2 linked regions of the Lepisosteus oculatus genome follow. The protein of the gene in region 2 binds, or shares a complex with, the protein of the main gene of each other region. Links are inferred from orthologs where the notes say so. Each region holds a gene or a part of one and is shown on either strand. Other genes may lie near its edges.

Region 1 (7,574 bases), on a different chromosome or scaffold from region 2:
CTATTACGACCTGTGCAACTAACTTATATTACATTATGGTGTAGTTAGTAAACCAGTCTAGTTTGCAGATGATACCAAATAGGAGGACTAGCAAAGCCTGCAGAAGCTACAAAGGAAACTGCTAAAGATTCAGAAATCAAGAGCGAACACTTTGACATCAGCTGATGGAGACAAGTGAAGAATACTACAAAGGCAGCAAAATAAACTATAAATAAAAATTGGAAACCCTGAATTTGAAGAGTCTACTTGTGAAAATGGCTTGGGTGTGTCTGTTGATGCATCAATCTTCTACACAATGTGAGGAAGAAGCAAAAAGGAAAACACATTAAAAAACAGTTTTAAGCACAATTAATAGCATCCCTTTATACATTAAAGTTGTACAAATCATTTGCAAGTCCTCATTTAGAACACTGCAGGGTCAGATACATTCCAGGGCTTAAGGAAATGTCCTACACCGACAGGGATGAAGCCATTCTGTGTCTTGGCTCACCTGTTATAAAATTATTTATTAGTAAATGTGTGGATTCTATCTTCACAGCCATGTAGCATCAGGTTTTATTTTGCATACATTATGTGTTATTTATAATTATTTTTTTCTTGAAACTGCTCATATGTTTGTATCTGTTATTTCAAGTACGTTGACACCACAAATAATTCCTAGCAGCCCAGAGGATTGGTTTGTGAAAAAAGATGATTTTGATGAGCTACAGAATCCAAACCTTTAAGTCTCGAAGAGAGACGACTATGAGGGGACCTGATAGCAGGACAACCTCAAAGAAAGAGGCATCACCAAACTCTCGTTCTTCTGCACCCTCTGCGAGTCGAAGCGACACATGCGTATCCGACGATGAGGGACGCATCACACTTGCCCTTAGCTTGAGGGTGAGGGTGTGAATTGCCAAGCGCACCCCCCCGAACCCAGGAAAGGGCAGCAGGGCGTGGCTCCTATCCAGGAGACGGAGGGGGACTCACCCGTCCTTCTTTTCAGGTTTGGGGGCTGCGCTGGGGCACCGCCTGCCGTTCTTGCTGGAGACGTAGCTGCACTGCCTGTAGGGGGCGCTCTTGTCCTCCAGCACGTGCTTGAGGCAGTACTCCAGGCCCTCCAGGCGCGGCTGGGAGCACGGCCGGGGGGAGAAGGAGCAGGAATGGGACTCCTGCGCCCGGGCCTGGGGGGTCACACGCCCCCGGCTGGACGGCAGCACGTGGATGCGGATTCGGTTCATGCCCAGGCCTGGGGGAGAGAACACAGGGATAAATACAGCTGGAGCTCACAGCCCCTGCTCAGCACCTCCCAATAACCCCATCTATGAACTGGCTTCATTACTCTGCTCTCCTCCCCACTGAGAGCTGGTGTGTGGGGAGAGTACTGGTGCCCTCTGGCTGCTGTCACATCATCCAGGAGGGGCTGCACATTGGTGGTGGGAGTGGGATTCCCCATTACCTGCAAAGCGCTTTGAGTGCAGTGTCCAGAAAAAAAAATAAGCGTAAGGAATTACAAACTCATGGCTACCAGCAAGCTCTGAGCACAGTGGTCAGTGTCCTACAGTCACAAAACTAATTACTCAACACTCCCAGCCAGTGCCTGAACACAGTAATCAGCATCACACAGTTACAGAGCTGCAATTATGAACCGGCTTCATCTGTCTTTTCTCCTCCAAACTGATAACTGGTGTGTGGCGAGTGTACTGGCGCACTCTGGCTGACGTTGCATCATCCAGGTGGGTGAGGGGAGTCTCCACGACCTGTAACGATCTTTGACTGGAGTGTCTAGGAAAGCACTGTATAAGTGTGAAGAGTTATTACCATATAGCCACTCCAATCTGCTTTTTGGCAAATATCTGTGCAAACCATGTCCTCCTGGATGAGTGCTAGAGCAGGACTGAGTCACACAGGGGGGCAGGGGGGGGATGACTTGCAAACTTCAACACTCAGCCTTCCAGAGCTTCTCTACACCAATTTTAAATTCTTCAAAACTTTTTTTCCCCCCATTTTCAACAGGGTCCTATCCAAGACCGTCTTCTTCAGTACTGATACTGCTGCAGACAAGTCGCTTCACGTGTACATGACCTCCTATGGCAACCCCCCCGCCCTCGTGCTTCGTTAAGAACATGTTCAATATCAGAGTGTGGGGGGGCAGCTGGTCAGGGCCACTGAACACACCAGGTGCCTTTCAAGACAAGGCGATCTCTCGACTGCAACTGATACCGGCCGAGAAAGAGAGAGAATAAGTCTCTAAAAGATGGATACGAGTATTTAATGAATGGCTGCCAAAGAACACGTGCATTTCTCCCTAACTGATAAAAAAATACAATGTTTTCCTAGCTACCTTTAAAACACGTCGACAACACTACAGCATCTGATTGCGTATGCCGAAATCGTCATCTATGCACCAGAAGTTAAAAGCTGTTGTATCGTGGGCGCAAGTCGTGCCCCATCCCTTCGACTGACCAGGCGTGCTCGCCCGTTTCAGAGAAGCGCGCACGGAGGAAGCCAGGCGCGACAATTTAAGAAACCTACTGAGTGGAGGGGGGATCTTTGCACCCGCTGAGAGACTTCTGTGATATCTTACGCCTTGATCTTTGTTTGCGATCTTTTCAAAATGCACCGACATGTTATAAAAACATTTACAGCGCCTAGACACGTTTCAGCCGCAGCTCTTCTTAATAACGCATGGGTCTAAAGGCACAAAGCAAAGCCACTTGTACCATACAACTAGCTCGAAGCAAAGCAAACTCTGATTTCACTAAGGAGCCTGCACACCCGCCTGAAAGGCGCCTCTTGTTTTGAACGCGAACATTATTTCCCCTTGTCTCGTTCCAATCCGCGAGTCAGCCATCTTAACACATCTACGAAACATCTCCCCTCCCAACCCCCGCTACACTTCTCTTTCTTTTCTGTTAGTAAAGATAATCCCACCCGCTTCATAATCAACACAGTCACCCAGAACAACAACAAAAAAAAAATTACTAGTATGGCTCATCGTCGCAACACCACGTTTACCAGACATCTTACCTCGACCTCGCCCGCCACTCGAAGAGCTTTAACCGCTCCGGTCGGCTCCCTCTGTCGGTCGGCCGGCTGCCACCCCCCCCACCGAGCCAGGATTGGCCAGACACAAGTACCTTGGAAACACGTCATTGGTTTGTCAACATGCCAATCGACATACAGCTCGGCCGGGGATTGGTCAAAATTAACGCTTATCAATTTGGGTCAGCCTACCGAAGAGCTCGGATTCTGGCGAAGGCAGTGCTTGTACAGACTGCAGCGTTGTAATGATTTAAGAATACATCCTCTGATGCACCTGGACACATCATCAGTATTCCTACCAGGGGTCTTTCAACATCAGACACCCTCGCCCAGGCGACCCAGCCAAGGTTGTTCAAGCCCTGGCTTGCGTCCAGGTGGCTTTGTTACCCACGGGTCACTCCTCTAATTATTATTATGATGAATCATTTTTTGCACTTATAATAATAATAATAATAATAATTGCTTACACTTATATAGCGCTTTTCTGGACACTCCACTCAAAGAGCTTTGCAGGTAATGGGGACTCCCCTCCACCACCAGCAGTGTGCAGCCCCCACCTGGATGATGTGACAGCAGTCAGAGTGAACCAGTATTTTCTCCACACACCAGCTATCAGTGGGGAGGAGAGCAGAGTGATGACCCCAGATCAGAGATGGGGATTATTATTAAAGAACAGAACCCGATTCTAAAGTAGAATGTTTGGAGTCTGGATTTGAAAGAGTTTAGGGAAGGTGACTCTCTGATATCCTTGGGGATGGAATTCCAGAGCTCTGGGGTGCAGCAGGAGACGGCCCTGTCACCCCTAGATTGTAGACTGGTTTGGGGGACAGATAGAAGGCAAGAATGACAAGAGCGAAGGTTGTGAGGTGGGGAGTAGGACGACAGTAGCTCAGACAGGTATTGAGGTGCCAAACCATGCAGAGCTTTAAAGGTGAGCATAGGGATTCTGAATTCGACACGAAACCTGACAGGAAGCCAGTGCAAAGACTCCAGGATAGGAGTAATGTGATCACTTGCAGTAAACCTGGTCAGGATTTACTGGAGTTTGTTCAATGTGGATTTAGAAACCCCAGCGAGTAGAGCATTACAGTAGTCGATCAGGGAGAAGACAAATGTGTTGATCAGCTTTAAGACATAGTCTAGCGATATTTCTGAGGTGAAAGAAAGATGTTTTGACAATATGCTGCACATGTGGGTCGAATGTCAAACCTGAATCAAATATCACCCCAAAGTTTTTCAATTTAGACTGAATCTCAAGTACTGTATGACCCACAGATAGGGTTACAGCATTGGCTTTACAAAGTTGATGGGGGGTGCCAATGAGCATGACTTCAGTCTTTGTCACAGATTAAAAAAAGAAAATTTTGAACCATCCATGTTTTTAGGTCAGAGATGCAATTAGAGAGAACAGAAACAGCCACATCAGTGTGAGGTTTGGTATGGACGTAGATCTGAGTATCGTCAGCATAGAAATGATAGTTGAGGCAATGATCTTAAAAACTGACCAAGCAGAAATATGTAAATGCTGAAAAGTAAGGGGCCCAGTATTGAGCCCTGAGGAACACCAGACTAAACGAGTCCAATTTCAGACCTAAATCTGCCAAGAGAGACAAAGTGACAGCGATCAGTGAGGTAAGACTTGAAGCATTTAAGAGCAGTGTCAGAAACTCCAAACACAGGTCAAGACGAGAAAGTAAGATGTCATGGTCAACAGTGTTGAAAGCAGCAGTGAGGTCAAGAAGAATAAGGATAGAAAGAGAGCCAGAATCAGAAGCCATTAGAAGATCGTTAGTGACTTTGACCAGGGCAGCTTCTGTGTGTGAAGTTGTCGGAAGCCAGATAGGAGGGGTCTGAAAAGGTTATTAACAATGAGGTGGTTATGTAATTGAAAATGTGACAGCACAGTCTAGAATTTGTGCAAGAAAGGGAAAATTGGAGATGGGGCGAAAATTGTTTAGATTTAGATTTTGTGGCACAGGGGTGATAGCAGCAGTTTTGAGAACCACTGGTACAACACCAGTGCCCAAGGATTCATGTATTATATTGAGGACAACGGGGCAGAGAGAAGTGAAAACAGCACTGAAATGAAGTGGTGGGGACGGGATCTACAGTAATGTATGGGTGGTGGGTTTCATCTGTTTCGAAGGCCTTTTTTCAACTATTTCCAACCGCCTCTCTGGCGGTTTGGATGGCTTTCCTCTTGCTCACCCCTGTTACGTCCAAAAGACACAGAGGGACTGGCCTGCAAGTCCTCTGCAGCCCCCCCCCGACGGGCTCACCCCCTCCCACAGCGCAGACCTACCAGGTCTTCATGTCTGACTCCCTCCTTCCGCCAGCCTCCAGCGGGGACCTGTCCGCTCTGGCACGGCCGGCTGCCGAGATGCTTCACACAGCAATACAACGTCCAGCCCGAGTGCGGTCAGGGGCCCACCTGTCTTGCCGTTGCCAAGGAGACCCGCCGATACTTTGCACAGCGGACGCGGCTGCTGACCGGCTCTGACGGATTCGGTGGCCTGGTGATGTTTGCTGTCGTTGATATCCCCGCTAATAGCGTCCGCCAAGGGCTTCAGCCCCCGGTCGCGCTGCCACCGATAGCAGCCTTCTCCAAGGGCTTTCGGGCAACAGTCGAGGGCGTGCTCCAGTGGCCCTCACCCCTGGCACAAAGGGCATGCCGGCAAGCCGCCTCTGCCCCAACAGGAGAGACACCAGGAAGCAGTAAAGGTTTATTCCGTGCTGAAAAGTGACACCCAGAGAAGGCTCCACAGCTGAAACGTTGTGTTTCTTTTCGTCTCTTTTCTCCTCTTCTAACTAGCAAGACCTTATGTTAAATATGCAACTTTATGGGAAAGCAGAGGCTGATGTGTAGGAGTGATATGCTGCCAAGACTTGGTGCGAGTTAGAAGTCTAGTTGTCAAGTTTTGGCCATAATGCTAGTTGTTTAGAAGAGAGTGAGGAAAACCACAGAGTAAGGAGTGGCGGGGATCAAGCCTCTGTGTTTTAAATGAATCATGCAGTCAGCGTCGGACGTTTGTAAAAGAATCGTGAAAGAATGCATTATTTGCAGACTTGAAATTGTAAAAGAAAATAGGGGCCAGTAGGGGGCGCTCACCCTGCGGTCTGTGTGGATTCCAGTGCCCCAGTTTAGTGACGGGACGCTGTGCTGTAAAAAAGCCCTCTCCTTCAGCTGACGCATGAAACAGCGCTTCTGACTTCTTTAAAACGCCTAATTGTTTCTCGAAAAGAATAGAGGTAGGTATTCAAACCAAACTCCCCACTAATCTTGACAATCAACATATAGGAACAGGCTAGTTTTTGTTCTTTATATCGCCAATACACATGATTATTGGACTAATGATAATACTGTGGCTTTAAACTTGCGTAAAATAAGAAATAGCATTTTATACTAACTCACGCTCTGGAAGACATCATGCCTGGTCCCGGTACCAAAGAAAGGGCGCCCCTCTGTCCTCAACGACTACAGACCAGTTGCACTGACTTCTCACATCATGAAGACACTGGAGAGGCTGGTTTTATCCCACTGGAGACCCCTGGTCAGCTCATCACTGGACACCCTACAGTTTGCCTACCAGCCCAATGTTGGTGTGGAGGAAGCGATCATCTACATGCTGCAAAGGGCCTACTCACACCTGGACAGGGCTGGCAACACTGTAAGAATCATGTTTTTCGACTTCTCCAGTGCCTTCAATACCATCCAGCCCTTACTTCTAAGGAGGAAGCTGGAGGAGATGCAAGCCTCCTCGACCTCGTGGATCACTGACTACCTGACAGGCAGACCACAGTCTGTGAGACTTCAGAACTGTGTGTCTGAACAGGTAGTGAGTAACACAGGGGCACCTCAAGGGACAGTTCTTTCTCCATTCCTCTTCACCCTCTATACTTTGGACTTTAAGTGCAACTCAAAGTCATGCCACCTGCAGAAGTTCTCAGATGACTCTGCAATTGTGGGATGTATCAAGGGTGAGCAGGAGGAGGAGTACAGAGGACTGGTCAGCAGCTTTGTGGAGTGGTGTGGGGTGAACTACTTGGAACTGAATGTAACAAAGACAAAGGAACTGGTGGTTGATTTCAGGAGGAAAAAGGTCAAACCTACTCTTGTCTACATCCATGGGAGTGGCGTGGAGATGGTGGACTCGTACAAGGACCTGGGAGTGCACATCGACGATAGACTGGAATGGTCTAAGAACATCGAGGCCATCTATAAGAAGGGACAGAGCTGACTTTACTTCTTGAGGAGGCTCAGGTCCTTCAATGTGTGTAGTAAGATGCTGCACATGTTTTATCAGTCGGTGGTAGCGAGTGCCATTTTCTACGCAGTGGTGTGCTGGGGCTCTGGGATTAGAGCAGTGGATTCCAAAAAGCTGAACAAGCTCATCAGGAGAGCAAGCTCTGTCATTGGGTCTGACCTGGACCCCTTGGAGGTAGTGGCTGAGAGGAGAATGATGTCCAAACTAGAGACCATCATGGACAACTTCTCCCATCCCCTCTATGACAGGCTTGCAGGAATGAAGAGCCCGTTCAGCAATAGA
Region 2 (7,662 bases):
TGCTAGCAGCAGACGTCTTTCTCTGCTCAGGTCTCGGTCCTTCTTCCTCCACCACCCTGCAGAAGTTCTCCTGGGCTCACCCGCTATTTCATTACATTGCTGTAATTTCATGTGGTGCCGCTTATTTTCCGTCACTAGTTCCTTCAAAGGTCTCCTGATTAATTTATAGGTGACTGATTGACGTTCTGCATGTCGGAAGCTAAGCAAGGCTGGGCTTGGTCAGTACTGGGATGGGAGACCTCCAAGGAAAGCCAGGTTGCTACTGCAAGCTGTCTGTGGACCAGTAGGTGGCACTCTTCACTATAAACAGGAATTACCAAGAACCAATATCTCAGAAAGGTGATTAGGGACACAGTGCTGAAGGAAGCAGGGGTTTTTGCTCAATTCTACTTTGAAGGGGTTCTAGCAGGGAGCCGATTCAGCATGCAGGAACAGGTGAAAGTTCATTCCATGCTGAAAGGTAAGAAACACTACATTTCGGCGAGTAGGTGAACTGGCCGCTGTGAAAACTGGCCCTGTTGTGAGTATGTGTATCTGCCCTGTGATGGACAAGCATCCCACCCAGGGTGTATCCTGCCTTGCTCCTTTCACTTGCTGGGCTAGGCTCCAGCTCACCTCCCCATCCTCACAACCCTGTACTGGATAAGTGCATCGGATAAACAAGTAATGGATTCCACTGCATCCTTCATTGGATTCTGCAATTCCAAACGTCCTTTGCTGTTAATTAACAGCAGTCGGAGTCCTGGACCTGAAAAAAACTCATGCACACGCCCTCGACAGTGGCATGAATTGGGCGGAGAGGTGGCTCTGTGGCTAAGGATCTGTGCCTGTGACTGGAAGGTTGCCGGTTCAAATCCCGCAGCCGGCAGAGGAATCCTACTGCACCCCTGAGCAAGGCCCTTAACCCTAACTGCTCCAGGGGCGCCGTACAATGGCTGATCCTGTACTCTGACCCCAAGCTTCTCTCCCTGTCTGTGTGTCTGTGTCTCCATGGAGAAAAGCTGGGGTATGCGAAAAGACGAATTCCTAATGCAAGAAATTGTATAGGGCTAATAAAGAAACATTAACATTAAAAGAATATCCTGCATCTATCCTTTGCCTTTTAGGAAAAGGGGGGGAGCTTCCTATCTAATAACAGCAGGTGGCAGGCAACTTCCTAAAAACGAAAGCTTTGCATTTTCATTTCAGCTCAGGGGAGTGAATCGACTGAAGAACGAACCAACCCACACGGGAAGTTCCCTTATTTTTAACACCGTTTGAGTCCAAGACAGCCTGCAATCCCATCTGGAACCTTCTGCTCATCTTTTTCATTACGTAACATTAAAGAGAAACACTGTCGAAAACTAGTAATTACTTCAATAGTATAGCAACGATAGTGCAACCCTTCAACTTATCAACCAACCTTATCAGCCAACTATTAAAAACTACAGGTTTGACAAATGTAGCTGTGTTAAAGGCACAGCTCCCGTATTATTAAAGTAAGAATCTGAGCATCCAGTCACGTGTACTTTCCAACTGTCTACTCGTTTTAATAATTATTAGCTTTTTATACTGATATTGTAATATAGCCAATAAACGTAAAAATCGCATTGCAGTTAGTTTTGTTGCTACACATAGAACGTTTGATATATTCAGTGTAGAAAAGCCTGAATAAAAGTAACTCTTTGAGATACTATTTTTTTTTGTATTTTAAAGTATTATTTGGGAATCAGAAAAGGAGGGGGCACTGGTCGTCAGCTCCAGGTTTTCAAAGAAGCTACACAAGACGCTGCGTTCACTTCTCTGCCGGCTTGAAGATGCAACCTCTCGGGAAGCTACTGCCGAGGAAAGAACAATATGCGCCATGTGAAGCAGGAGCACACGTGTGACCCCAGGCTTGCAAACCGGAGGTGTTCCTCGGCCCTAATGCAAATCGCCGTTGTAAGACGGTGGGGCAGGCTGTGTGTCACCGAGCCCTGACCCGGAGCCTCGCATTTCAAGTTGCGGAGCCGGAGGACAATCACTGCAGCTGCCGAGCACAAGTCGGGAGCGGAGTGACGCAAATGGCGCGCAATACGTTTCTCGCCCGTTGTTTATGCCACTACCGCGGGCTCCTGGACGAGTGAACCCCCCTCTAAAACCGGGGTGCCGTCCGGTTTGCGAAGTCGGGAGACTTCCGCTGGCGCCGCAAGATCTGTTTTATGGATCAACCCAAGATACTGGATTAACCGTTTTATTGCAAGCACCGCCTGGGTTTTGTTTCCTGCGTGCACAAAAACGTGGATCCAACCACGAAAAAAATATCACCTCCGACTCCACAGAGAAGCCAGCGGGACGTGCTAAAGCATGTCCTCGCTAAGCACAAGGTGGACGTTGCTCTTAGAAACACAAAGTATTTTCAGGATTTCGGTGTTTTAAAGACGGAAAAGTAAAACCCCACATTGCCGATACTCTCCGCCCGTTTGCCGATTTCAGAGAAGCTTACTGGCTGCCGGCTCTGACAGCAGCGGATTCGAGGCGCCTGATTGGACGAGCCGCTTGTCAATCGTTCGGCCGACTTTGCCGGGGCCTCTCCGGCCTGCACACATCAGTCTGCCGTAATTACTACACGAACTGAGAAGGGGACTAACTTCCCAGAAAACAGGAGGAAAAAAAAAAAACCTTCCCCCCCGAATCATCGGGAAAAAATTACATCAACGCTTCGGCTCTGCAAAACAAACCATCGCGAAAGCCACTCCTTACATACCCCCCAAACCTGCCCTTCACGGGACAAAATCTTTCTGTTTTCTCCAAAGTGTGAGGATAGCATCACTCTCGAGGAGACACATGCGGCAACTTTATTTTTTTCCCCCTCCTGATGCATGGCATCACAAACACTTCACATGGCAAATAAACAATGATGAAGGCTGAGTCGCACGCAAAACGTCGTCCCTAGCCCCGCTACGACGTGGGAACGGTCTTTACCTTGTATTTTCTTACGTGATCCCCCGCTGATGATGCATGTACAGTTAGCTACTCCTTCCCAGACTCTAGCGCACTGCCACCCTCTCGGTGTCGGCTGCCCACGCAGTTTATTTTCCCTGCGTGTGTGTGAGCGGAGAGAGAGACTCCGACTGCTGGCCTTCTGCGCTTGCGCCGGCGCGCCAGGCGCTCTTTCTGATTCAAGAAGTGTAGAATGTTCCTTTAAAATGGTGACGAGTTTTATTCCCAATTTCCCTTCTCTTTGTTCGTTTATTTCGTGCACGAAACATATACGTGCACGGTTACATGAAAAATATTTATTAACGTCCGCTCGGCCGCGCGTCCGAATGGAAAGAGAGCTTGTGTTCTCCCCCGGATAAGAAAATATTCACGTTTTGGTCGGGGTAAAATGCTTCTATCCGGTCTTCCTTTGACAGGGCTAAGGTTTTGGGGGGTACCGGGGTTTCTCAGCGAGACTGTCCAGGAAGAGGGGGGCATACTAAAATTAAATGGAAATGTTTTACCGCCAGCGATCGAGTGTAAGATCACTTAAAATCACTAAAGCGATGTCCTGGCTACGCTTACACTGAATTGACCTGCATTTATGCGCTTAATTCTTTAAAAGCGATGCAGCCTTCAACGATAATTATTAAGTTGATTTGGCTTCTAATTTGACGGGTCTTGATTGACTAATGCTGAACGGTAAAGCTAAATAAACTCGCATTTCATATTACACAGAAGTACTGATATTTTACTAGTAATCGCATTTCGCTTTGTAATATGAAATGCGATAGTTTATTAAATATGCGGTTAATTAAAACTACGAAAATGTTATGTAGCTTAAGGGAAAGAAGTAAAAAGTGACCTAGGTGAAATAGCGTGAGAACTTTTTCACTGACACGCATTATATGGGTAGCATATATGCTTGTCCTCCTCTCTCGTACCTTTAAAGTTACTCATACCTTTAGAGTTATTCTAAGCAACAAATCATTTTTATACGTTGTCTGGATTGGTTCCTTCACGATATTTGAGACATAATATAACGTTTTGTTCTTGTTAATATAAGCCGTTTTTTTCTCACAAGGCTTGAGTCCATTTGTAATCTTTTTTTATTTTATTTATTTTGGCATGATTTCTTAATTATTATAGCCACTCACAACTGGCAGCCCACTGAAGCTAAGCATGTGTGAGCCAGGTCAGTACCTGGATGGGAAAAACTAAGGTTGCTGCTGGAAGAGGTGTTAGTGGGGCCAGCAGGGGACGCTCACCGTGCGGTACATGTGGGTCCTAATGCCCCAGTATAGTGACGGGGACACTATACTGTAAACAGGCGCCGTCCCTCGGGTTTGACATAAAACCGAGGTCCTGACTCTCTGTGGTCATTAAAAATCCCAGGGCATCTCTCGGAAAAAAGTAGGGGTGTAACCCCGGCGTCCTGGCCAAATTTTCCATTGGCCCTTATCTATCATGGCCTCCTAATAATCCCCCACTATGAATTGGCTTCATTACTCTGCTCTCCTCTCCACTGATAGCTGATGTGTGGTGAGCGTTCTGGCGCACTATGGCTGCCGTCGCATCATCCAGGTGGATTCTGCACATTGGTGGTGGTGGAGGGGATCCCCATTACCTGTAAAGCGCTTTGAGTGGAGTGTCCAGAAAAGCGCTATATAAGTGTAAGCAATTATTATTATTACGTATCTTAAATTAAGTGTGCATAATTTCTTCCTCGCTACAGCCAAGAATTACCTGCTCAACTCTGACACGCTGACACGATTATAATGAGATTATACTGACATTTTTCCTCCCCTTGAACGGTGAGAGAGGAGGTGGTAGAGTGAGAAATATCCTTCAGTTACTGAACTATTTGAGCAGAGAAAGGTCATGCTCCCATTCTGTATTAATAAAAACGTTTAATTTATTTAGATTGAACCGTGGTTTTAGTTTATCAGTAATTAGAACATTATTTTAGTAGCCGCTATTGATAAAATAGATGTGTTCATCTCTACTCAGAAACCGTACGTACCAAACTCGAGGCATATATAATAATAAAGTGAAATGTATGTATATAGTACTTACAGGTTATTCATACCATCCACTTTTGGAGATGAGCTGAAGTTATTACTCTAGAATAAGAAGGAGCTGTTTTGTATTACTTACTTGAATCATAATGTCAAAAACTAAACTTTCACAAACTGAATTACAGTACTCATGCAGTAACGAGGAAGTTAATGCCAATAGGACATACGTAGGTAGTGCGTGTTCAATCTACTCCAAAGATAAACTATACAGGGGGTTTATAGCAAAGTTTCTAATGTTTTCTGAAAGTCAAAATGTATTCTAACACACCCAACAGACAAGACATAAAAATAACCTCAGAATTTTAAAGATATAGAGAGCATATTTCGAAAGATGAACAATTGTGAAGTTTGCAACAGGTTAAATGATTAAACGTGTTGCCACACTTTTCAGTCTTATATCTTATATATTTGAACTTTTTATAAATATTATCTTTATCGTTTTAGCAAATTACGATTGATTTCTGTACCCGATTATTTCTGGCACAGTAGACTGTGTGGAAAAGAACTTCTGCATCTCTCCAATTATCCCAGCAGAGGGCAGTCTCAACATTTTGTTTACTTGGTAGTATCCCTGTTTTATTCGAAACCCTACCATTGAACGTAACTATGTGCAGTAATAATAAATGAACAATTCGGAATAAAGTCTGGTTAAACCGCTTACATAATCTATTTACGGAATAACCAAATTTCACATAATTGATTTTCAAGCCATAAAACAACTATTGAAACAGATTAATTCACACAATACTGCGCTCAGACAACGGGAGTATTCCAGCTGTCTAGGAAAGCTCCGTTAAGTTGCCCCCCCCACACAGAAAGCACAAACGATGAAACCCATCTCATTCGTTAGTGCTACGTTTGTGCCAGTTTGTGCCGTTGAAAGGAGCGTCTCTGCTGCTTTCGTTTCCGAGATATAAAAACCTTTTATTTCCGGGGTCGTGACGTCATTGAGCTCCCCTACAATGTCGTAGGGAAACCAAAACGGTCTCATTCGTTAGTGCTACGTTTGCTGCTTTCGATCCCGATATATAGCGCCTTGTTTTTATCGGTGATCACGTGACCATGGCTATGTTCTATCGCAACATATGGACTTCATGTCGCGACATGGGGGCAGGGCATTTTGTTGGGGGTATGTCATATCGCGATATTCGGGCTTTATGTCACGACATGGGCATAACAGGTTTTTCATATCGCAATATATGGACTCTATGTCGCGACATGGGGGGTGGGCGTTTTGGCTGGGCATGCCATATCGCGATATAGGGCCTTTCATGTCGCGACATGGGCGTGACAGTTTTTTCATATCGCGATATATAGACTTCCTGTCGCGACATGGGGGCGGGGCATTTTTTGCCCGGTAGGTCATATCGCGATATGCGGGCTTCATGTCGCGACATGGGCGTGACGGGTTTTTTCATATCGCGATATATAGACTTCATGTCGCGATATGGGGGCGGGGCATTTTTGCCGGGTATGTCATATCGCGATATGAGGGCTTCATCTCGCGACATTGGTGCGGGTGACGTTTGTCATATCGCGATATGTGGACTCCGTGTCGCGCCATGGGGGTGGGCGTTTTGTCGGGGGTAGGTGATATCGCGATATATGGACTTAATGAAAGTGGCGGCATGACAGTGATGTGCCAGTCGCAGTGGGTATCAGGATGTGATCGTGATGCGCGCACTCCTATTGTGACATGCTATTGGAGTCGTGAACGCGCTGTGGATGCCTTGACATTCTTTGTCTGCTATTCAGTTTTGACCTCAGTGCGACTTCTCTTAGATTGATTAGTAATTGGAAACCAATGGATGTGTTACTCTATAACCAGCGTACTCATGCAGCACACACGGTTAACCAGGGCTACAGTATTTGGCGAAGAACATCCATCACCTGTGTATCTACATGTTCTAGGAACTTCCGCTGTTGCACTTTATCCAATCAGAGTGTCGATTCTCACTCTTTACCCAATCGCGGCCCGGACTGTTCGGGAGTTTTAGCCAATCACGGGTCTGAGAGCTGTTCAAGCTAGTAGCGCCTGCTGGATCGGCTTGTTTACTGTCAATGAGAATCTATTTTTAAAATGCTTTACTTATTTGCAAAATAACTACATTGGCTTATTTGTTAACGTCTTTATTAATTCACAATGTCCCGTACTCTTTGAAATAAATATATTTTCTATTTGCAATATAACTGTCTCCGCTGCTTTCTGTAATGAATATTTATTTGAACAATTTTAATCGTATATTTAAGGTAGGGGAAACACTTTCTGATTTGTACTTCAAAAATTAATAGAAATGTAAAGTCTATGATCATGATATTACTATGCTCGTGCTTTCAATTTTTTTTATTGTTAAATTATATCGATCTTGAAACTAATACCCAAAAATGGGAATATTGTCTCTCGTGTTGTACCAGCGGTAATTTAGAAAATTTGGAAGCAATACATTTTCGAGAACATGGTTATAAATTAAAAGAAAACACCTAACCCAATAAACTAACATATTAACTCCTCCCTAAAAGAAAGTGTTTATTAGTAAAGGCTGCAAAGTCTGGGGTCAACTTATCAAAATATTTCTTTTAAATGCACTTCACGTTAGAAAAGACGTATGTTGACAACTACGAAATAAATAAAAAAGCAGTAAAT

Evidence for each region. The genes of interacting proteins can lie anywhere in the genome.
Region 1: phf20b (region 2) and kansl2 share a complex: the UniProt entries of both Homo sapiens proteins name them as parts of the NSL complex. The link is inferred for Lepisosteus oculatus from reciprocal best matches to the Homo sapiens genes PHF20 and KANSL2.

What each region holds. Positions count from the first base shown.
Region 1 is NC_090696.1:14,506,856-14,514,429, forward strand, and holds the start of kansl2 (KAT8 regulatory NSL complex subunit 2), read right to left. Parts: upstream 3,018-7,574; 5' UTR 3,008-3,017; coding exon 2,968-3,007; intron 1,232-2,967; coding exon 973-1,231; intron 1-972. UniProt on the Homo sapiens protein: Non-catalytic component of the NSL histone acetyltransferase complex, a multiprotein complex that mediates histone H4 acetylation at 'Lys-5'- and 'Lys-8' (H4K5ac and H4K8ac) at transcription start sites and promotes transcription initiation.
Region 2 is NC_090711.1:7,201,987-7,209,648, forward strand, and holds the start of phf20b (PHD finger protein 20b), read right to left. Parts: upstream 3,030-7,662; 5' UTR 2,944-3,029; intron 2,870-2,943; exon of another isoform or gene 2,726-2,869; intron 1-2,725. UniProt on the Homo sapiens protein: Methyllysine-binding protein, component of the MOF histone acetyltransferase protein complex.